Lytechinus pictus: one gene and its partner. Each later gene encodes a partner of the first gene's protein in a complex. Links are inferred from orthologs where the notes say so. Each region holds a gene or a part of one and is shown in the gene's direction. Other genes may lie near its edges. The genes, in order: mortality factor 4-like protein 1 and vacuolar protein sorting-associated protein 72 homolog.

The links.
Region 2: mortality factor 4-like protein 1 (region 1) and vacuolar protein sorting-associated protein 72 homolog share a complex: the UniProt entries of both Drosophila melanogaster proteins name them as parts of the tip60 chromatin-remodeling complex. The link is inferred for Lytechinus pictus from reciprocal best matches to the Drosophila melanogaster genes MRG15 and YL-1.

What each region holds. Positions count from the first base shown.
Region 1 is NC_087249.1:20,514,865-20,527,454, forward strand, and holds the start of mortality factor 4-like protein 1, read left to right. Parts: upstream 1-7,483; 5' UTR 7,484-7,543; coding exon 7,544-7,574; intron 7,575-12,590. UniProt on the Drosophila melanogaster protein: Part of the Tip60 chromatin-remodeling complex which is involved in DNA repair. Upon induction of DNA double-strand breaks, this complex acetylates phosphorylated H2AV in nucleosomes and exchanges it with unmodified H2AV.
Region 2 is NC_087247.1:35,240,362-35,253,022, forward strand, and holds the start of vacuolar protein sorting-associated protein 72 homolog, read left to right. Parts: upstream 1-6,656; 5' UTR 6,657-6,738; coding exon 6,739-6,761; intron 6,762-7,914; coding exon 7,915-8,059; intron 8,060-8,875; coding exon 8,876-9,028; intron 9,029-9,570; coding exon 9,571-9,697; intron 9,698-12,093; coding exon 12,094-12,288; intron 12,289-12,661. Other genes in the region: lysophosphatidic acid phosphatase type 6-like, read right to left, coding at 500-630, 1,450-1,581, 5,249-5,530. UniProt on the Drosophila melanogaster protein: Part of the Tip60 chromatin-remodeling complex which is involved in DNA repair. Upon induction of DNA double-strand breaks, this complex acetylates phosphorylated H2AV in nucleosomes and exchanges it with unmodified H2AV.

The sequences.
Region 1 (12,590 bases):
TTGGCAGAGGTAAAAATGGCAGAGGTAAAAATGGCAGAGGTAATAATGGCAGAGGTAAAAATGGCAGAGGTAAAAATGGCAGAGGTAATTTGGCAGAGGTAAAATTGGCAGAGGTAAAAATGGCAGAGGTAAAAATGGCAGAGGTAAAAATGGCAGAGGTAAAATTGGCAGAGGTAAAAATGGCAGAGGTAAAAATGGCAGAGGTAATAATGGCAGAGGTAAAAATGGCAGAGGTAATAATGTCAGAGGTAAAATGGCAGAGGTAATAATGGCAGAGGTAAAAATAGAGCCTTTCTGCTTAATATCAGTCATATTCATTGACCTTATCCTATCGACGAAATGAGTATTTATGAACTGATTAGATAATATTTGGATTTTTCTTCATCATTTTAGGTCTATATTTTATCGTTGATTAAACTCAAACATTTTCATGCCAAAATGATTTCAATTAGCCAGTGAGTGATGAAAGGACTTATCTTGGCCAGTTCGTATAGTAGAACAGCACTTCACCACATACATACCGAACGAATTTAATGTAAACATCAATGTGCGCTAACATTAACACTGAAATAGACAAGTTCGGGATTTATTTGAACCACTTGCATAACTTGGATAACAGAAAAATAACAAAACGTTCTGTAATAAAAGTAATCTTTCATATTTCAACATCATAATGGATCCGAATAGATATTGATATGATACGTGTATAGTTTCATGTAAATGATATAATAATCATGATAATAGCAACTAGAGTTCAGTTTTTCAGAGCAATACCTCATTGCAGCTAGTCCAAGTGGACGTCAGGTTCCTAAATTAGTTTCGATGGTAGTTTCTAGTGTAGCGAATCAGGGATTTAAATTTATAATAATAATGATAATAATAATTCAATACTTACAAGCGCCAAACAAAATTTCTCTAAGCGCTTTACATCACAAAACCTAACTACTTAACTTAATAAACTAAACTCACTTATCAACTTAACTACCTTACATAACTAAACATCCAACGTAACTACCTTACATATCTAAAATACTAACTTAACTACGGGCATATTAACTGTAAAAAATCATACTATTTACGGAAGAGATATGTCTTAAGTGCTACTTTAAAGGAACGTAGAGAAGAATGGGATCTTAAGCTAAGAGGAAGTGAGGAAATTTATAGGTGTTTTTAAATACCATTCTATTGACCAGTTTTGAAGGGGAAATTCACCATGACAAATGGTTTACTGTAAAAATAGCAGAAAAAAAATATATTGAAGGTTTTCGGAAAACCCATCAAAGATTAAGAATTTTTTTAGAAGTTTGAGTTTTTGATCTGTGACGTCATATACTAGCAGCTGCCCCGTATTTTATGCACCAAAATGTATACTCTTCATTTTTTTAATCAGTGGTTCATGATTGCTAAAAACAATATTTCAGGAGCGGATGTAAAATGATTTGTATGTTAATATACTTAAGGTACAATAAAAACCATTTCTTTTTTTTTGGAAATGACATTTCATTGATATTTGTTAATACACCATATATGGGAAAAACTGCTCGCAAATGACGTCACCGTTAAAATGTAAAATTATAATAGCTCTTTTAATCTTTGATGGATTCGCTAAAACCCCTACCAATATCATTTTAATTATTTTCTGCTATTTTTACAATAAACTTTGTCCTGTAATGAATTAATTACAATACTTGGGATCCAAAGAGTGCTTCAAATTTGAATATTAGAAGAGCGATTTGACATGAGAAGGCCATGCATGTAAGTCCAGGAAAACAATTAGAAATACCAACTCAAGTGTTATCAATTTGGTGCAGAAGATTAACAGTATGATTTAAAAATTTTACCCTTTCCATTAGTCCAACATTATAATTCTAATTTTCTTCTCAAAACTTTTCTTTTTTAATCTACTGTACGAGGAGGGGCTTTGGATTTTTTGGCATGGGGATTTAAGACTGGCCATTTATACATCTATCATTTTTACCTCTGCCATTATTACCTTTGCAATTTTTACCTTTGCCATTTTATCTCTGCCATTTTTACCTCTGCCATTATTACCTCTGCCATTTTTACCTCTGCCATTATTACCTCTGCCATTTTTACCTCTGCCATTTTTACCTCTGCCATTTTACCTCTGCCATTTTTACCTTTGCCATGGTTACCTCTGCCACTTTTACCTTTGCCATTTTTATCTCTGCAATTTTTACCTTTTGCCCTTTTTATCTCTGCCATTTTTACCTTTGCCATTTTTCCTCTGCCATTTTTACCTCTGCCATTATTACCTCTGCCATTTTTACCTCTGCCATTATTACCTCTGCCATTTTTACCTTTGCCACGTTTACCTCTGCCATTTTTACCTTTGCCATTTTTACCTTTGCCATTTTTACCTTTGCCATTTTTACCTTTGCCATTTTTACCTTTGCCATTTTTACCTCTGCCATTTTTACCTTTGCCATTTTTACCTTTGCCATTTTTAACTCTGCCATTTTTACCTTTGCCATTTTTACCTTTGCCATTTTTTCCTTTGCCATTTTTACCTCTGCCATTTTTACACCGAGCCGATCATGCAACCTAAGACTTGTCAGTGATACTTGATTACCCCTATATCCACATTTTATAAACTAAATCTATTAACTTTGAAAGTTATGACTGTCACAGCAATCTAATAATTACCACCAAAATGGCCAAAGTTCAATTACCTTAAACGACCTTTGACTTTGGTCATGTGACCTGAAACTCACATGAGATGTTCAATGATACTTGATTAGCCTATGTCCAAGTTTTATGAACTAGATCCATACACTTTCAGAGTTATGATGGTTATTCAACAAATACCCCCCCCCCAACATGGCCAAAGTCCATTGACCTTTGACCTTGGTCATGTGACCTGAAATTTGCACAGGATGTTCAGTGATACTTTATGTCCAAGTTTCATGAATAAGATCTATAAACTTTTAAAGTTAAGATGGTAATTCAATAAATACCCCCTATTTGGCCAAAGTTCATTGACCCTAAATGACCTTTGCCCTTGGTCATGTGACTCAAAACTCAGGCAGGATATTTAGCAATACTTGATTAACCTTATGTCCAAGTTTCATGAACTAGGTCCATATACAGTTATGTTATGATGTTATTTCAAAAACTTAACCTTAGGTTAAGATTTTGATGTTGATTCCCCCCCAACATGGTCTAAGTTCATTGACCCTAAATTAACTTTGACCTTTGTCATATGACTCAAAACTCAGGCAGAATGTTCAGTAATATTTGATTAACCTTATGGCCAAGTTTCATGAACTAGGTCCATATACATTCTAAGATATGCTGTCATCTCAAAAACTTAACATTCGGTTGAGATTTGGTGTTGACGCCGCCGCCGTCGCCGCCGCTGTCGGAAAAGCGGCGCCTATAGTCTCACTCTGCTTCGCAGGTGAGACAAAAAAGAGAAAAGGAAAGGGATAAGAAAGAAATATAGGCCTATTATTTTCCAAGTGTTATGTAAAAATCTATCACAAACTTTGATTTTTGTAATAAAAATGTCAACATTTTTGCTCGCTCGCTTCGTTCGCAACTTCTTATTAATTTTGCGCAATACGCTGTATCGAGCCCCCCCCCCCCCCCCCCAATTTTTTTTTGCTCATTACGCCACTGGGACAACCCCTTCAGAGAAACAAACAAAAATCAACTTTGAGCGGACGATCGCGGAAAATATGGGTGAAAAAAATTCGGCCCCCCCCCCTATTGGCGGAAGCTGGATCCGCCCCTGTACATGTACATGCCACAATCAAGTTATCGACCTATTTACTTAAATATAATACCCTGACGTTATTGAAATAGTTGATTGACCTCTAACCCCTAAATATATTTTTCATGGCCATTATTTATCCTTATATTTCAGAGTGAAATTATTGAACTTCCAGGTTTTCATTACAAATAGCCACCTTTCGTTCTATTTTTTACAAATAAAATGTGAATATAATGGATTAATTTCTTTTTTGGGGGAATCATGCATGGATATGTTATACAGATATTGCCTACCTAGAGTTTGAATATAACATTTCCTCTCCCCGACGGAGTTATATTTTTCCAAAGGGATTATATTTTGCCCGAAGCGCGCAGCGCTGAGGGAAAATATTCTCCCGAGGGAAAAATATAGCTTCGGAGGGGAGTTGAAATGTTATTTATTAAAACGATAGTCCAGGCAATATCTGTCATATTATATAGTCTATATGGATCAGAGATTAATTGCCTTCATCATCTGGCCCCAACCCGAAATTCTTGCTACAGCTCTGATCCGTCTACGTCATAATAGAAAAAAATTGGAAAATACATCAAGCGCGTTCTTCATGCAATCGACGCATTAAAGGGATGGTCCGGGCTGAAAGTATTTATAGCTTAATAAAAAGAGTAGAATTCACTGAGCAAAATGCTGAAAATTTCATCAAAATCGGATAACAAATAACAAAGTTATTGAATTTTAAAGTTTAGCAATATTTTGTGAAAATAGTCGTCATGAATATTCATTAGGTGGACTGATGATGTCACATTCCCACTTGTTCTTTTGTATTTTATTATATGAAATTAGGTTTATTCAAATTTTTTCCTCCAAGAACTAGAAAAATTGGATTGACAAATGATTTAGTGCATTAGATATTTATTGCTGCAACTTATTTCATTATAAGGGAGACATTATTATTCACACAAGTATGAAATAATGAAAAAAATATGATGTTATGTAATAACATAAGAAAGCGGAAAGTGGAGATGTGACATCATCATCCCACCTAATGAATATTCATGACTACTGATTTCACAGAATATTGCTAAACTTTAAACTTCAATAACTTTATTATTTGTTATCCGATTTTGATGAAATTTTCGGCATTTTGCTCAGTGAATTCTACTCTATGTATTATAAATAAATAATATAAATATTTTCAGCGCGGACCATCCCTTTAACACTAGCGCGTACATCAAATAAACTACATGATAACGCAACTTGTAAGCAGCGAGTGACGTCACCTTAGTGAATATAACGCCGCAATTGAAAATACAACGCAGTTATATTCACTGAGGTGACGTCAAAACCTCGAATATACCAAATGCGATCCTCGCAGCTATGATCACGTGATGGCGTATTGACCTATCACTGATTCGAACCTACATAAGCTATGTAATATAGATATTTATTAACTTTTGACCTTTGACTTTGGATATCAGAAGTGAATGATTATTCTTTATGATTATTTTTTGCCTTTTTATATATTCTTGCAAAATTGCTTTTGGCACCAAAATCACCAACATGCAGTGTTTTATCTCAGATATATCATTATACGATATATATCCTATGTAAAAAGGTCATTGACCTTTTGACCTTGAACTTTATGGATTAATATGCATTCTAGGTGATTAACTTTATCTTATTTGTCCTTCCTGTAATAAGCTGTGCATTTTGACACGACGATCACCAACCTAGCTGCCCGGGGGGGCACTCAGTATATAATGCATAGTGGGTATGTGCCGCGGAGGGGACCCCCATTACACTCAAATTTCCGTTCCGAGGCACAGCATTTTTGTCTTATTGAGAAAAAGAACAAAGAAAGCCGCTCCAGAGCATAGCATTTTCTTCTTCTCGAGAAAAAAGAAGAAAAAAATCCGCTCCAGGGCTTCGCGTATTTTCCGTTACGCCGTTCCGGTCGCAATTTTGGTGAAAAGCGGCCGCAGCTCGCTGTCCGTCGTGCCGCCGGATTAGCTCCATGTACGTTCCATAGGGATGCATACGCACTCGCACGCAGGCGACCCGTTCCAAGGACCCCCGTTTTCACAAACATTTGTAGTTCCGAAGCTCGTTCCGAGGACCCTCCTTTTTACAATGAGCCCGCTCCAAGGCCCCCGTTTTTTGTCTCGCCCGCGGCACACCCCTTCCACTTTTTTGGTCGAGTGCCCCCCCCCCGGGCCTAGCTGTGCCGTTCAATCTCAAAGATACTATTATACAGTAGCCTATGATACGTAATGTAAAAAAGGGTAATTGACCTTTGAAAGGCTTTGACCTTGAATGCTATTGTTTAATGTGCATTCTAGGTACACTATTTTATTTTATTTGATCTTCCTGTTAGAACCTCTGCATTTTGACGCCAATTAAGATCACCAACCTGCACCTTTTCATCTCAGAGTACCGTATGGTATAATGTATATAATAAAGGTCATTGACCTTTGAAAGGCTTTGACCTTGAATTTCATGGGTGAATGAGCATTTTAGGTGCTTAATTTGATTTTATTTGATCTTCTTTTAAGAATCTAGCTGTGCATTTTGACACCATGATCACCAACCTGTAATATTTTATCTGGGAGCTACCATTATACAGTATATTTGAAAAGGTCATTGACCTTTGACCTTGAAAAATCCCACAGACTTTCCCCAACCCGTATTCCTCCTAACTTTTTTGGTAAATGTTGACATCACCCATATACCTACTCAAATCAGTCCAAAAACCATTTCCAATAATTTCATTCCAGATGGTTACTAATATAATTGCGGGATACTAATGGTGCTGAAGTAAATTAAGTCAAAAAGGGGGGGTCAGTTACAAAATGAAGGTCGTTTTGGTTCAAAGAAGTCTGACAAGCAAAAAAAATAAAAAGGTTAGTTTCAACACGAAATTTTACATATATTTATCTAATTGACACACCTATACCAGAATTCAGGGGGTGCTGCCTATGAATAATAATACACGCAGCATATCCCCTGGGAAAATATGGGGGCAGCACCCCCGCTTCCTAGGTCCCGTGGGGAAAGAAGCTTCCTCTCAAGAAGGCTCCAAATCAAAGCAGTGGCAAAAATAGTCATTTTTTGACTGGTTGCCAACACGTACACCACAAGACAGAAGAAGAGGGCCCTAAGTTCTGCTCGGAGTCAGTCAATAGAATAAACTCAAGATGAAATAAACTCCGTAAGTCGTTATAACGAAAGAAATTTCACGAATTTTCGCCCATAGGGCTTTGTCAAGTTAGGATCAAGATTTGAAATTGCGTCATGATAAAAACAGTATGCGCGTACGTAGCTATAGCTAGTGAGAGAGAGAGAGGGGGGGGGGAGGAGGGGAGAGGAGGAAAGAATATATATAGGCCTATTATAATTATTATTATTATTATTATTATTGTTAGCATTATTATCATTATTATTAGTAGTAGTAGCAGTAGTATTATTGTTATTATTATTATTGTTATCATCATTAATATTATTATTGTTATTATTATTATTCATTATAGGCTATTTTTTTGAAGTCCCATAATAAGAAATCAGAGATTATATTATTTGACCGAGCCACATGATGATTGATAAGTAGTATATGACATAGAGATATATTACTTGTTGTAAACGGACCCCCCCCCCCCCCCCTCCACCTCCAAAAAAATTGTTTTCCTTCACGATTACCTGCACATACACGCAGCGAGCTAGCGCTCGCGGCCCGCGGCCCAGCTAGGCAGCTATCGCTAAAAATAGCGCAGCGTAGCGTCAAGGTAAAAGGTCAATTGATGTCAAAGACCGACCATGGCACCTGTCAAGACAAAGTTTTCGGAAGGTAAATGCTATGTTTTATGTGAATATTTCATTTTTATTTTTATCCTGCATGTATTATGCGGAGAGATACGTTAATTTGTATTTTGTAATACTTTTGTAATCTCTTTCTTACTCCGATATTTCAAGAATTGTTGAAAGATCGCACGTGAAATCCGTGAAATGCAAGCTTTGTTGGAATACGGTCCCACATGTGCATTCTCTCGTAGGCCTAGTAGTCGCTATAGTAATATAGTAATTAGTATAGTCACGTATTGTATTACCGGACACTATTCACTCTAGGCGACACCCCAATACTTACCCGTGCTAATAAACTGGGACTCCACTCACGCGCGTTTGGGCCTCCCTAGCTTAGAACTAAGCACTAATATCACCTTAAAAACTAAATCTACAAGGTATGTATAATCTATTTACAAATTTAATAATGTTTAATCGGTACTCACCGGTTCTTTTGTTGCATTTTCAGACCATTTCTCACAATTCTTCGTAAATATTTGCGGCAAATTTTGTCGCCATAGACAGCTTAGCGTCCATCTTTATTGATAAATGGAGCGCCCTTTACGATAGTTGTTAATGCCGCGGAGAAATCGTTAGGCATTTTGGCCTGTGTTCAAGGCGTTCTTTCTGTTTTATTTTTTATATTGAAGATTGTGCATTTGTTGAATAGCGCCGTCTACGTCAGGTATGAGATCGAGTGTATAAATACACTCTTCCAAAATAATTATGATTCCGACCTGGCGCTGTTTAACTTCAATCTCTTTCACCTAAATTAGCGATGAATGCTAGCATTATAAAATATATATTATTAACGTCTGACGAAAAGAATAACCAACCGATCAGCTGACGAGAACGCGAATCACGTGATCTTCATATCAGCTTCGATCGCGAGTCAGAAGAGAAGAGCAGCTGCCCAGAAAATCAGGAAAAAGCCGTGAAAATGTAAGTTCCCCTTCATTTCTTTCATTTTTTGTTGTTGCTAACGATGCATTTACACTATAAAATTATAATTTAAATAAGAGAAAGGAATTATAGCTTGTACTTGTGATATAATGTTTAAATATCCTGTTCTCAGAGATTTCTAACCAAAAATACTACTGATGTCGCCTATGAGGTCCATACATGTAATGTTGGACCTCATTGGTACTAGGAGTGACACTATTATAATTCCGGACGCGCATATTACTGCGTTCGAAAACCATTTCGTACGGTAAGACTTCCGCAATTCAGTTTCACAGAGCAATACATAGAACAGGATTGCAAAAACAAGGCGAAAAAAATCCAACTTTTAACTTATTATCTCTAAAATGACAGAAAATGCTTAAAATATCAAATAACATAGTTTTGCATTAACAATTGATATATTTTCTAACGGAAATATGGGTCTGATCTGCCGAATTTCAATCTCGTCCGCTCCTTCGATCGAATGATGAGGTGTGGTGTAAAAAAATGGGTGATCGTCGATGGCTAGTTCTCAAGGTACCCGTGCGCGAGGTTTACCGTGACTTTGTGAGTATAGAGCCGTCGACGATCGGCAGCGCATCGATAGAACTTGATGAGCGTCACGATACGAACGAGCATAATATTGGAAAGTTCCATGAAACATGCATCTAACAAGAAAAAATAAAGTAAGTTATCAAACACGAATTTATTACCAACATCTGCTCAGAATCGATATAAGAACAGCAAACAAAAACTTAGAATTTACTCATGATATGATATAAGAAGAAAAAATCACACAAATTTGTTCTTACATCATTATAATCAAGAATATCTTTACCCGTCCGGCGCGCGTTCAGAATCATGATGTAATTTGTCACGCACAAACATTATTGTTTTTCGTGGAGGGGTATGCAGCAAGTGCGATGCAAAGAAACAGTTGGTAAATATCAAATAAATTTATATTCATAATTTTCGTAATTGGAATAGCAACTAGCAAGTGCGAATTTTTCTTGAATGTATTTCCTCTAATTGTCATTTTCAAAGCACTGAAATATAGGTGTAGCAGAGCTGCCAACCAGTACGTATTTAGTATGTTTTTTGCAATCAAAATAAGACTGGTCAGGACAGTACGTTTTTTCTTTTAAAAATATGATTTTCATAAAACTTACACAATGTAATTTCAGGTAACTTGGTTTTTTTTTTTCAATCATTTTGTTAAAACCAGGGTGAGATATACACGTGTTTCAATGTTGTTTTTTTCATCTGCAAGAGCAGTGTGCATTTAAGCTTGCATGCAGCTTGAGCGCCTCGATGAGCGTGCATGCCACGCATTTTATTGTGAGATACATTTTTTGGGGGGAAAATACTTTTTTTTTATCACAGAATACAATTTTTCATTTCCAGAGGTTCCAGAGGTCTGGTGAAGAGGTGTAAAGAATACACTACCATACCTAACACGGGGCTCCACCGGGCCGTGGGCACTCGTTCAATGAACAAGGTTATGATATAGCCTTGTTCTCGGTTATGTGGAGAAATAAGGTTGGCAATTTTGGGCTTATTATTATCTCTTGTTCTTAGGGACAAATGATTGATTTTTTCAAATTGTCATTTTCCATTGATCACAACCACTCAATGAACAAGGTTATGATATATTGGGGTCGGGACAAGTCGGACTGCGAGCCGAGTTGTCCCACCCCTTTTCTTTTTTTTCCCCCCAATTTGTGTCTATTTTTCAGTCATTTCAAAATTTCTTGTAACAATTTCTTGGAACAAGACCTTCTTTCCTTGTGACCTCTGGTTAACTTTGTGAAGATGTAGATCTAACCAGCGGTAGATATACCGAAGGGTAGTACATTCAAGACAAAGTATCTCTTCTGACCATGGAACTCCAAACAAAAACCTAGATATTTCCTATGTTTTTCAAAATTTCCACATGATGGTATGCTGATTTAAGATCATATGTGAAAATGTTATCCCCTCATTCAAATAACATCACTAGCAACCGAGGCATCTTCGTACTTAAATTTGTTCTTGTACAAATGTGGATTGATATGCCTACAGTCTAAGACTAGTCTAAGTTCCCTTGTTTTCAGACACTGTTAAAGGATTAACAACTGATGGCTTATATTCCTCTTCTGAAACGCAACCTCTCTCTATCAATTTCCCAATTTCTTCCTCTACGAAATTTGAATGATTATGTGCAGATCTGTTATTAGTGAGCTCTCAATCATCAGGCAATGTATGTTAATACAATTTGTAACCGTTCTCGATAATGTCTAAAATCTCCTTACTTGCGCCGAATTCTGTGAATTCACTAGCATTTTTCTTTCAATTTTCCAACAGGAGAAACATTCTCCTTCTCTCTCGAGTCTACCAACTCAATATCTTGACACTCAACTTCATTTTCCTTTGCGGAATGTATCAATTCTGTATTTTGTTCTTGTTTAATTTCAGATATCACTTTTCCATTTTGGGGGAACTATCGGATACTATTGTTCTATACTCAAGAAAAAACTTAGATTCACTTATCTGATCTGAACGGCTGCCTCTAATGGATAATCCACCTTCCAATGGCCTGGTTTTCTGCAGGAAAAACAGATGCCGGGCTTCTTCCGGTCCTCTGGTGTTGTTCGACCAAAAGGGGTATAGGATGACGATGTGTGGCTTGGTGTGGGATCTTGCTCTCTCTGGAAACCTGGATGACTTTTCCATGGTGAAGATTTGGTTCCCGACATAAGGAAAATAAAACCTTCCTTCTGGTTTCTTCGCCTTCCTTTCCGCTCTCGCCTTGGCTTTGAACGTGGCTGTGCTTTTCATCGTCTGAGTCATTGGCTAATGTGTTCTGCTCATACTCATTAACAAGCTTCCATCCTAATGGCGACTTGTTGGCCATTTTGATAAGTTTTGTCTTTTTTCGATGATTTCCATACCTTCGGCGATCTTTTCCTTGGCGTCTAAAACTGCTGATGGCCTGTCCTGAGCTCCCTCGAGATAGTGATTGGCTTCTACAAGCTTCCTGTGTATCTTTACGTTGACCTAATGCTGTTCTTTGTTTCCTCTCCTCTGGAATTTGTAGTCGTCGGAATGCATTTCTCGAATCTTGGCAACCTGGGCGTCGTTTAGGATTTTCTGTGTTTTTCCAAAAGACTGCTGATAATTGTTCAGCCTGCTTGATATCAGATTATCGAGTTCAGATAGGAGATTGTTCTGAGTTTGACTCGTCTTAACATAGATCAACTCTGCAACTTTCGACGAATTCCATGTTGGTTTATTGGAAGCTCAAAAAAAGATGTGCTAGTATCAGTAGTGTGGTGCTGTAGGTTAGAATGAATATTGGCGTTCTCTACGCCCAACTCAAGAATCTACATCTTTTCATATATTCAAATTACCCTATACGTCATATTCAAATTATCAAATGTCATCAAGACCGCTATGCTTGCCTGACTTAGCTTTTGTACGTTCCCGTCTAAACAAAGTTTAACCAGCTATACTCCGTCATGCTGGAAAATAAATTTATGTTTTGACCTCATTGGTACTAGGAGTGCACGACGACGAGTTGTGCTATTGTGATGCGTGTCTAACCTAAATTCGACATGCAGGTGTACCAAGATTTAACAGTCAATCACAAGCCAGCATGCACATTCAATCACCAATGCACCAAACAGGAGCACCCATTTGTATACTCATCAGTGTCATGGAAAGTCTGATTTTAACTTCATAAATCTAACAAGTTAGAATTTATAGAAAACTAAATTTTGCCGTAAAAAATGTGGAATCTGATATGGCTTATTTCCAAAGCATGCAGAGGCTTATCTCGAATTTAAGAAACCGGGTCGCCAAAAGTACGCAAAAACAGAAAAAGTCGACCACATTGAATTTGTACATAAATAAAGTCAACTGATACATTCGGGTTGCCTTGATTTGACTGTGGATTTTAGCGCAGTGCGAGTGCGAATAGTTCTGGGTTGCAGTTCAGCTGCTCTCATATGCATTGACTTTTGAATGCGCTGTGCGCTATGTCCAAGCACAGCCGTGAAACATTGTTAGTACATCTCAAGATTACAATAAATATTGAGATGAA
Region 2 (12,661 bases), on another chromosome or scaffold:
TGGTTTTATTTGATATTTTGTATTTATTTTATTTCATTTTTAACTCTTTGTTCTTATCTGTTTCTTCCATGGAAATTGTTCGATATACTATTCTGATTATAGACAACATGAAATTAATTGATTTCAATCAGTAATTTAAGTAAATATAGGCCTAATGATCGATTTTAGAATTTTGGCTAGAAACAGAATTTGCATTAGATAGTTATGTGAAATCATGCTTGCTGCGTTTCAGAGTCTGACATTAACTTACAAAATGTTGTTTGACATTGAAACTTCGAACACAGGCATCAGAAATCAGTTCCATATGTTGCATAAGACTTAAAATAAAAAAAAGTAATGACACATTTCAGTGCAAGCTTTTCATGTTACAGTTTTATCTTGCAAAAGGTTGAGGCGAACCACAATGCACCCCCTGGGTTACTACAATCTATACTTGATAAACAGGCACTTCATTATTATATTTGACCATCATGAAACTTTGGTTCTACTAAACACTTACTATACCAGTTGTGGATTGAATTCCTTGGGTAGGAATCCAAGTTTCTCCATGTAATGTCTTCTCAATTCCTTTCCAAGATCATTGGCTTGTTTCATACCTTTGGCTGTAAGTTGACCTTTAAAAGATCCACCCTGAGTATTACAGACACAAGGAAAATATGTTTACATGTAAACTTGTTTGTTTGCTGGTTTCAGTGAAATGCAGTGCAGTTTGTCCTATCATCAATATTGTTTGAAAAATAATGTAACACTGTAATCTAAACATATCATTTGGCAAATGCATAACAGTTGGCAAATAAAAAAATGACAAAACACAAATCTATGAAATGCTGTTTCCAGTTTAATATAAAGAAATTCAAAATTTCAAAAATCAACAAGAATTTTAATAAAAATACTATGAATAGTTCTGGTTTGCTGGAACTGAATTTTCCTATCTACATTAAAACTTTCATATACTGATTTCAAATCTGTAATCAACCAACCAGCGCTATGGAAATAAGATTACACAGTGGGATCATTTCTGCATGCTTGAATCTATTTGCCTGTAGTGCTATAAAAGTACATTAAAAAATATGGTTGCACATATGTACATGTACACAGAATTAAACAATTGTATTTAAGCCCCCCCCCCCAAAAAAAAAAAAAATCCTGCACAGTAATCTCATTTTTAGAGTCCAACCTGGTTGATTGAAATCCAATATCATGAAATTCTTATTAAATTTTGTTCTAATGAAGCTGGTTAACTGTGACACTTTGATTTAAATTTATTTATTCTATTGGTCTGCCTACATGTATGTGCAAAAGATTGCATCTCCTGCACACTGGTGACTGGCTTGAATAAAGCACAGGAAGCCTGTATTGCATTTGTATGTTATTTGAAACTTGAAATTTTGTTACCACATGATTTATGAAATTCATCCAAACATGTGAATATACTTGTAACAAACATACCTTTAGTGGAGCCTTTCTGTAGTACTGCTCAATTTTCCATTCAGGCTGTGGTCTTCCATCTAAAGCCCTAACTTTGTAATCAATGCATAGATCAGCTTCTCCTTGGAATAAAGTATCTTTATCCCAAACGCTCTGTAATAGTGACAAAAAAAGAAATGTTTGATTAATAATCTTGCATTCTTCAAGTTCATTTGAAATGACACAGCGTAATTCACTTCATTTTCCACTATTTCCAAATCAATCTGCGAAGGTTAAAAAAAATGATTTTAGTTCACGAACCTCTTGAAATATAACAAGTACACTGTTGACCAGTGAACAGATTAATTTTTGTACACATACTGTAAGCTCAATACAGTGATTGTCAGGTGTCTGATCAATGATTTAAGTAGTCCAATGTAGCATTTGTTTTCTTTCAACATCCTTTATGCAAGCCTACTTGTAAATAGTGCTGCTCTCTTGTTGTTGCATTTTATTTTGCATTTAAGAATTCATAACATTACTTCTCTGTTCATCAGAGATATTGTATTTCAAATCAAATTAAATTAGAAAAGGCATAACAAAATCACCTTTAAGTGTGTTCACTGTGCAATCTCATTTATGATAAAAAAACACTATATATATCTTGATGGTGAGTATGATGATGAGCAAAGTGATAGTGATGAGTTTACTTAGTGATGACAGCACTATGACTGGCCTAGATATATAAGACAAGAAAGGAATATGATTTCTGATGAACTATATTATAATACAATTATAATAAAACAAGTGGAACGCCTCTGGCAGTCTCGCCTGCATTACGCGATTTTAGCAGCAGTGCTAACTTTGAAAACTACTATAAAATAATCATTCACAAAAACATCATTCATATAATGACATAATACCGTTCATTGACCATAAATGACATTTGAACGGTGACTTAAGACTTGTCAACTACACCCATGTCCACATTTCATTCACTCTATCTATAAACTTTCAAAGTTATGATGGCAATTCAACAATTACCCCAATTGACCTTAACTGACCTTGGTTTTGTGACCTGAAACTCACAGGGGATGTTCAGTGATACTTGATTACTCTTATATTCCAAGTTTTATGAACTAGATCCATAAGCTTTCAGAGTTAGGATGGTAATTCAACAAATACCCCCAACACGGCCAAAGTTCATTGACCTTTGACCATGGTCATGTGACCTGAAACTCGTACAGGATGTTCAGTGATACTTGATTACTCTTATGTCCAAGTTTTATGAACTAGATCCGTAAACTTTCAGAGTTAGGATGGTAATTTAACAAATACCCCCAACACGGCCAAAGTTCATTGACCTTAAATGACCATTGACCTTGGTCATGTGACCTGAAACTCGCACAGGATATTCAGTGGTACTTGATTAACCTAATGTCCAAGTTGCATGAACTAGATCCATAAATTTTCAAAGTTATGATGGTAATTCAACAAATACCCCCAACTTGGCCAAAGTTCATTGACCCTAAATGACCTTTGACATTGGTCATGTGACCTGAAACTCAGACAGGATGTTCACTAATACTTGATTAACCTTATCTCCAAGTTGCATGAACTAGATCCGTAAACTTTCAGAGTTAGGATGGTAATTTAACAAATACCCCCAACACGGCCAAAGTTCATTGACCTTAAATGACCATTGACCATGGTCATGTGACCTGAAACTCGCACATGATATTCAGTGGTACTTGATTAACCTAATGTCCAAGTTGCATGAACTAGATCCATAAATTTTCAAAGTTATGATAGTAATTCAACAAATACCCCCAACTTGACCAAAGTTCATTGACCCTAAATTACCTTTGACCTTGGTCACGTGACCTGAAACTCGAGCAGGATGTTCACTGACACTTGATTAACCTTATGCCCAAGTTTCATGAACTAGGTCCATATACTTTTTAAGTTATGATGTCATTTCAAAAACTTAACCTTCGGTTAAGATTTTGAAAATAATTCTCCCAACATGGTCAAAGTTCATTGACCCTAAATGACCTTTGACCTTAATCATGTGACCTGAAACTCAGGCAGGATGTTTAGTAATACTTGATTAACCTTTTGTTCAAGTTTCATGAACTAGGTCCATATACTTTCTAAGTTATGATGTCATTTCAAAAACTTAACCTTAGGTTAAGATTTGATGTTGACGCCGCCGTCGGAAAAGCGGCGCCTATAGTCTCGCTCTGCTATGCAGGCGAGACAAAAATAAATTGGTTTGACCCCATCCATCAAAGTAGCAACCACATCTACCATAAACCTAATTGATATTTTTTTTTGCTGGTATACAAACAAAGATGACTTCTGCTCACTATAATCATGCATCTACTAGATATACTGTAATCAAAGTCACCAACACCTTTGCTACATATAGTTTTAGGGATGTCAGTATATGGGAATATATACTAGTATAGTAGTAATAAAGACTTGCTTTGCAAATTGATCAAAGAAAGAAATAATATTGAAAACAAGGCATTATTTTTTTCAAACCAAGGATTTATCAAGGTCAGAACCCAAGTTGTTTTGTCTGTGGATGTCTGGATGAAAAAAAAAAGAAACTACAGTAGAAGGCTACAATTAACAAATATATCAGGCTTTGAAAAAGTATAGTGGAATTTATCTGAGGTTGGTCTGGCAATTACTATTTTTCCCGAGGGGCGAAACCCCGAGAGAAATATATTAGTTTTGCCAGTCCAACCGAGGACTAATAATTCCCACTATGCTTTCAAATGAAATGCCTGATATATTTTGTTTTATATCCTACTTTTAATAATTTATAACCAAAATCTATGCGCTGAGCTTGCAAAGTCTGGTTACTTGCGTTGAATTACCTACTTTTCTCCGAGCCACCGCGCTCAGCGAAACGCAGATTAGTGCCTGCGCCAACGCATCAAGGGACTTGCCCGGCCCGGGAGAGAGAGCTCGCTGGCCGGTGCGCCCGAGAGTTTAGCTAAATATCCAGTTTTCTGAAATAATGACGTCAGAATATTGGTATAGCGAAAAATATATCGAGGTCTGACGTCACAAACATTATAGTTGAAATATATTTGGTCACATGATGCTATTTGAACCAATCACTATACAGGATTCAATCTATGTAGGATTTATCAAATTTGCTTATAATTCATATCCCTATTTTGAAAAATCATATGTGGCAGATCGCCTCTCATACAGTTGGATTGGACTCATGGGAGAATCTCTCCCAAATTAACCTAAGACGGCTGTAGAAATCACATAACATTGATAACAACATAAACGATGATCACATCATTTCACATGAGAGTTTCTTTCATAGATCTTCCTTTCATTCTTTCTTTCCTACTTTCTTCCATCGTCCTTTCTTCCCCACTCCCAGCTCATTCAGCCTTCATTTATTTCATTTTCTCTGTCCTTTCCTTTCTTTCTCCTTTCATCTCTTCCCATTAAAGAATCTTTTCTATCTTCCATTCTTTTTCTTTCTTCCTTCCTTTCATAATACTTCTTTCTTTCTTTGGTTTAAATTGTCTTTTCTCTCTTTTTTTCCTTCCTTCCTTTTGATTCTTTCTTTCTTGATTCCTTCTTTTCTTGCTATTATCTTTCTTCTTTTTTATTGTTCTTTTTCTGTGTTTATTTCTTACTTTTCCCCCTTCCTTCCTCTCCCCCCCCCCCCCCCCCCCCCCCCGCAACAAGAGCAAGTGCAAATTGTTGGCTGGTCACTTCACTTGCACTTGAATTCTGAAATGTGAAGAGTGAAAATAAAATGTAAGAAGCTGTGACTGTGAGATGGCCAATTTAAACACCCTACCTGCTCAGACTTTGGGATACATCCAGATCCTAGTGGCGTTCTAGCACCATGTCTAAACAAAATCTGCACAAACTTAAGCTCCAAATCATCACGTGTAACCAGCGGAATAGAGGCATCCTTGCAAGCCGAAGCTCTGGGGGTCTCTCCAGCTCCATTTCCGCTTGATGCTGAGACTGAGAAGGGCGAAAGAGACATCATAAATGGTATTACAGTCCCGACACTGCCCATCGTAGCTCCTAATATGGCAGCTCCGAGGTGTGGGGTTTTGTTGAAAAATGGCATTTCTTTATCTTTATTGATTATTAGTTTGTTTGAAGAAAAAATTTAACACAAATCCCAGGACCCAGTCAACTTGCACTTGCGTGATGAATGCACTAGTGTTATTTTTCGTAGTACGGGCCGGGGACGGATACGCATACGGATAAGGTACCGTATATACCGGTATACGGTAACCGGTACTTATCGGTATATAATGGGTGATTTCAAGTTTGGTGTTCGGTGTTGGTGTTGGTGTTGAGAGCATAAAAAGGCCGCTGAACCGAGCTCCAACACCGAGCTGGGTTCAGAGGAATGATACCGATTGCGTTATCGATAGCACATGACGTCACGCCTCTGCGCTGCGCTGCTAAATCATCTCAACTTCACGCGAGAAGTCTCGACGACGAAAATGAAATCTGAGAGAAATGCATTAAATGCTCATCGTTCAGAATACAAATGTTTTAATTAATTCAAGAATTCAAAAGAGTGAACATTATTCTTCATCAAAATATATACAGCTCAAATGATTTGTACTTAGCTAAACTGTAAAAGCTAATTTTACGGGGATGTTTCATCGTGTTCGCCGCCTGTTCAAGAGCTTGAGATTGCCAACACCAACACCAACACCGAACTTGAAATCATGATTTTCCCAATCCCTGGGGGTTGGTGTTGGTGAATGGGGAAATTGCACGTAGATCGTCAACACCAGCCGCAGTGCTGGGTTCAGCAGACGACATTCAACACCAGCATTCAACACGAACTGCCGGAAATAAGTCATATTTTCCGAGGTCAATCCCAACACCATCCTGATTTCAAGTACGGTGTTGTGGCTAGTGTTGGTGTTGTCACAACACCAACACCAGATTTCAACACCGTACTTGAAATCACCCAATGACGCAATTATCCTGCAGGAAAAAAATCTTTGCACAAGTCGGCGTTTAGTTTCTTCATTTTTTCACTCTTCTGGTAATATTTTCATAAGTTTTTAGTGAATCAAAATGCATATGACATTCTTTTACAATTATTCAAACTGAAGTATTACTTAGAGAGTGTGCGAAATAGAATTTATAGCACACCTAACGTTTGAAAGTTGCAGCCGGGCTAGGGACGTAGCAGGTCGTAGGCTAGGCCGCCGCGGTCCACGTACGCGGTTCGGCGGGAAGTTTCTCCCCAGCCTGGTCCGGCCATTCCGCGCCGCGCCTGTTTGTCGAGCCTCAGCGGTTCAAGTTTGGATGAATTTTTTGGTGTTGAGAAAGTGAGAAAAGCAACTGAACCAAGCTACATTGACATTCTAATCGTTGCCTTATCGTGAAATTCTGTTTTCGATCTTGTGTGTGTGTTGCCTGTTGGTATGATTATGAATACAGTGAAGTGAATAGGGTGACAGGCGCAGGCATAATTTGCAATTTGCGCACTTTTCAACTTCAAGAACTAACTTTAGATCAAGTCAATCTTGACGTTCATATGCCATAATAATCAATATAATGATTGTGGGCATTAACGGAAAGACAAGAAGACAAGATCTAACGTTAGCTTGCCTTTAGAAAAGAATAAGGCAGACAAGTCAAAGGTAAAATAATTGTATCAGATGGAGGTTGAAATGCCATGGGATTTGTTTTTATCCCAATTAACTATAGGGACATGTGCGTGTAAAAATGGCGTTTGCTTGAAAGTTGATGCTTGTCTAGACAACTGGCAGCCGTCTGTTTCGAAGAGTTTTTTTAAACATTTTATTTTTTTTATATATTTCTCCTCGTACACAGACGGCTCGCTATCGTGCAGCCACCATTAGGGGGTTAAAAATGCAAAATCCCCCTGACGGGGCTCATCGATTTTTGTCTTTATTTCATAAAAATATATAAAAAGAACTGTACCAAAATAAAGATTATCATTCCGTTTTGGCCTGAAATGCACCGAAACGGGGAAAAATAAACTTAAAAGGGGAAAAAACAGTGACTTCGGCTGTCGCGCAACTTCACTTCCCTGTTTTATCCGAACTTAATACATAAACAAATGGCCATTGAGTCCCCTGTACAGATCGAGCTAGAACTTCTGTCTCTGTATTCGGTGAGTGGAGCCAACGGAGTTCAGCGGAACAACCAACATAACAGAGACCAAAGCTTTTGGTCTAATGCTTGTCTACTGTCTAGAAGTTCAGATTTTCTTGGAACAATTTGTAAAATAAAACAGGTTCAAAGATGATAACCAGCAGGGATGGATCCAGGATTTTCCAAAAGGGGGCACATTTTCCTGAGGAAAATTTTGACAAGCATAAAAAAAGGTTTTTAACTATTAACAATTAAGGGTATTTCGTCCATGAAAAAAATTGACAAGCAAAAAAAAGGGTCTTCAGTTTCAACCAGCACTGGTACTTTTCTATTTTTTTCTTCTCATTTCTTATACCACAGTCCATTAGAGAATCACACTATTATAATCATGTCACTGGTCCAGACAAGAGAAAAGCGTGCCAATGCTGGCAGCAAGATGCACAGACTCCTTGCTGAAGAACAAGAGGATGAATTCTATAAAACAACATATGGAGGTTTCCAGGAGGTGAGGATTACTTTAAGTAAACAGTATAGATGACTAATTTGAGACTATTAAAGCTTGCATTTGCAGGCTGGTAACTATGGAAATGTATGCTTTAAGCATAATCAGTCTGCAAAATAATAACTTTGTATGAGTCTGCTCTCCATAAGACAAAAAGTTGTAAGAATTTAAAGTAACTACTGATAAAATTGTATTATTTGCTTATGTGGCATAAAGAGTTTGACTTACACAGAGTCACATATGTATAGGCCTATATGCCAGTTCATGTGAAAACTAGTTATTTATTGAATAAGATCATTCTATTGCAAAGAGTGTAGACCAAATACACATTTTTTTTATAATATCTAGGTTGTGTATTAATTTGTTCAGTGATATATGCTGATATCAGGCTGAAATGTAAATCCTACATATGGATTGGAATTAAAATTACTTTTATTTTTCCACCTAAAAGGGGGAAAATCACCTCATTCTGTTAAACTGATTCCTATATAAAATAATAATTAGAAAGTCAAAAAGGGGCCTAAGTTTTCGATCCTAGTAGAATCTTCGTCGGAGGCAAAATGACAAACATATAAAGTGGAACAACCATAATATAGACCACAAACAAGCTACAGCAACACTAGAAACCTAAAAAGTTATAATTAAAAGATTCAGAACAGGATCATTATCAACTCAAGTAACTTATACAAAAACTTTAGAGTCGCAAATTTCCCCATAGTTCAAATGCAGATAGACTACTGTTTTAAACCATCTTGAGGACCCATTTCTGAATAATACCCGATTGGTGTTGATAGATTCTGTTATATGTGATTACTCCAGGAATCTGGTGATGAGGAATATTCTAGTGAGGAGAGTGAAGCGGATTCATCATCTGATAGTGATATTGATGCCCCAGAGGATGATGAACCAATCAGTGATAGTGATGATGATGGACCAAAGAGAAAACGAAGAGTGATTACTAAATCCTACAAGGTTAGACCCTCTCTTATCCCTTGTCAAAGTTATAGTTTCACCACCTTTTCTTTGTAAAACCTTACTTTTTCATTTTTATTTTCAATCATTGTACTCTGTTACCTTATAATTTTTTCAAGGTATATATAGATAGTCAAAATTGCTCTTGCGATCATCTACTGAAGAATCACACGTTCGGTGTCCCTCATGTTATTTCCCCTATGTAAACATGTATGGATAATTAGATTTTAAAAATAACAAAGGTAAGGTACAGTTTATTTAATGTATTTTTACAACACTTCTGTGCATGTCATCACTTAAATAAGAGGGAGTTGATGTCATATACTTGCTTTTCTTTTTGTATTTTATTAAATGAAATTGCAATTCAGATTTACTTCACCAAGAATGTAAAAGTATGAGATTGCTGAAATAATGCTAGGAAATTGTCAGTAGTAGAAGTAGTCAGAAGTACTGTACAATCTGCTATTGCAAATCCCTCTCTAAATGATTTCTTGTTGCAACTTCTCGAGTTTGATTTTACTATAAATATCTTCCTATTCCAGGAGCCTGCCAAGAAGCCTGTCATGAAAAAATCTCCCACAAGTCACACCCCAAGGGAAAAGAAAGCGAAAATTACCACACCGAGCAGTAAGAAGAAGAAACATTACTCCAAGGAAGATTCCAGTTCAGGTATGTGCCATTTTCAGGATAGAACAAAGTCTTTAGTCCAAATGAGATCTCTGAAACCTTAAAGCTTGAGATTAAATGTTTTGTCAACCTTGATGGGACTGGCTGAATGAACTTCCTCAGTAAGGTTTTAAAGGTCAAGTCCACCCCAGAAAAATGTAGATTTGAATAAAAAAAGAAAAAATCAAACGAGCATAACACCAAAAATTTCATCGAAATCGGACATAAAATAAGAAAGTTGTGAAATTTTAAAGTTTCGCTTATTTTTCACAAAACAGTGATATGCACAACTCAGTGACATGCAAATGAGACAGTCGATGATGTCCCTCAGTCACTATTTCTTTTGTTTTTATTGTTTGAATTATACAATATTTCATTGTTTACAGATTTGGCAATAAGGACCAACTTGATTGAACCATATAGTATTAACCCTCAAGCTCCCGGGGTATTTTGATTCTTGTCATTCCCGGGGGGGGGGGGCCATTATGGCCCCCCCTTAAGATCTCGGCCGCCGATCGCGCGAGCGACACAAAAATTTGCACGCTGGTAGTGTGTGATGTAATCTACAAGGCTGTATGGTAAAATTTTCCAAAATATTGAGATTTTATTTTATATGAATTAATTATGCTAATTTATGCATAAATCATACTTTTTGCTCTAATTCACTAAATAAAGCTCCTAGAATGCTAATTTTTGGTAAAAATATTCTTTGTAGCATTCTTAACAATCGCAATAAAAAAAAACTTCGGTTTGGAAATCAATTTCTTATGTATTTTATTGTTTTATGAATTTCTTATGTATTTCTTTGTTTTTTTACTTTTGGTTTTTTATTGTTTTTTCTATGGAAATCGTTCCAGACTTAATTCTGATCATAAACAAGGCAAAATTAATTAAGTTTAATCAGTAAAAGTAGAAATAATGATACATTTATGAATTTTGGCTAAATACACTATTTGCATTGGATTTGTACATGAAATCACGTTTATGAGCAATTTTGGGTCTGACATGCACTTATATAATGTTGCGTAATGTCGTAACCGCGTACCCGGGCGTCACAAATTTGGTCTCAAAATTTGCGCGAGACTTGAAAGTAAAAAGTCAGTGAGCGGCGAGGTAAAAAAAATTCGCGAAGCAGATATATCGCGAAAATTGTCGAGGGGGGGGCCATTATGGCCCCCCCCGGGAGAATTAGGGTTAAACAATGCTAATTCCACATGTTCAGGGAGGAATTAATGTTGTTTCACTTGATAAGAAGAAAATTAGAATATTCCATATTTTATATAATAAAATACAAAAGAAATAGTGAGTGGATGACGTCATCAGTCTCCTCATTTGCATACCTACCAGGATGTGCATATAACTATTTTGTGAAATGAAGCAAAACTTTAAAATGTCATAACTTTCTTATTTTACATCCGATTTCGATGTAATTTTCAGTGTTGTGCTTGTTGGATTTTTCTCTTTTTATTAAAATATACTTTATGTTGGGGTGGACTTGTCCTTTAACTTTCAAATCTATGAATCCTTGAGCTGGGATGTTATGTTACTAAGCTGTAGATGTATGTTGCCTCTATGCCTTATGTAACTTCTTGAAACTCTATTTGGCTGACCAAAATGATTTTCGGCTAGCTGAAAATGAAGCGTCGTGGTGTAGCAGTTCTGACTCTTGCCTTGCAATCAGAGGGTCGTGTGTTTGAATCCCACCGCGGCCTAGCGCCCTTTGGCAAGGCCTCAATCCACAATTTGCCACTCTCCACCCAGGTGTTAAGTGGATATCTGGTAGGATGCGAAAACCTATGTCATATGCCTAGCAATTGAGTCTTTGAACTCTTGTTGGAATGCTCCCCAAGGAGTGGAGAAAGTGCATACATTGTGTGCGGGCATGATAGGATCCGATGATCGGGGTAATGATATTTACAATGTAAAGTGCTTAGAAACAAAGTGTAATAAGCGCTTTATAAATGTAACAATTATTATAGTCAGTGCATTGACCTTGATGGGAATGGGGTATCTGATACCAACCCAATCTGCGCATATAGCATGCATGGCATAAAGCCTTGATGGCATGGATGGACATATATTCAAGGATCTCCATTATATTACAAGATTTCATTTAGGGCATGAGTCGGGTGTTTAATATAATTATTCAATGTTGATATAAATTGTGAACATTTTTCCAGCATTATTTTTCTAATATGTTTGAAGAAGCACGTTTTAAGTAGTCAAACTTACATCCTATTTTTTAATATGAGTCCCAAATATGTAGGATGAAATCAGTGGGCTCAATTCTTTTCAAGAACAATTATGGGAGATTGTTTTAATGAAGCCAGGAAGTATTTTGTAGTGTTAATGAGAAGTCTTCATAGAATAAAATATTGTTGAAATTCTTGTCTTCTCAGTTCGCAAGTCAAGCCGACGGTCAACCATCCAACGGGTGAATGAGTTTGAGATTCGGATCAAAGAGCGTGAGACCAAAGCACAGATCATCAAACAACAGAAGACAAAGAAGAACGTTCCAGAGATGAGACGACTCACTCAAGAGGAGCTCCTTGCCGAGGCTAAGATCACAGAGAAGAAAAATCTTCACTCTTTATGTGAGTTCTTGATTATTTTTAGACCAACTCTCTTATCAGTAATTTTTGTGTTACAACTTACAATTGATTGAAAAATAAATTTTTGGAGAGGGGGGGGGGGCAGTTTGTGGATTAAAAACAAAGATAAAAAAAATAAATAAGTGCACATATGTGGATGTTTATAATAATAATACTAGTACATGTGACTTAGAAATTGCCAAATCCACTCTGTAGATTGCCCAAGCGACATAAAGAATTAGGAAATGAACAGAAAGCTTTGAAGAACGCATGGGTGTGAGTGTGACAAAATATTGTGGTCTTCATTCTGAAGATGACAAGAAAACACTTGTCAAAATGTCGAGTTTGGATGGTCCTTTTCCGGACCATCAGTTGC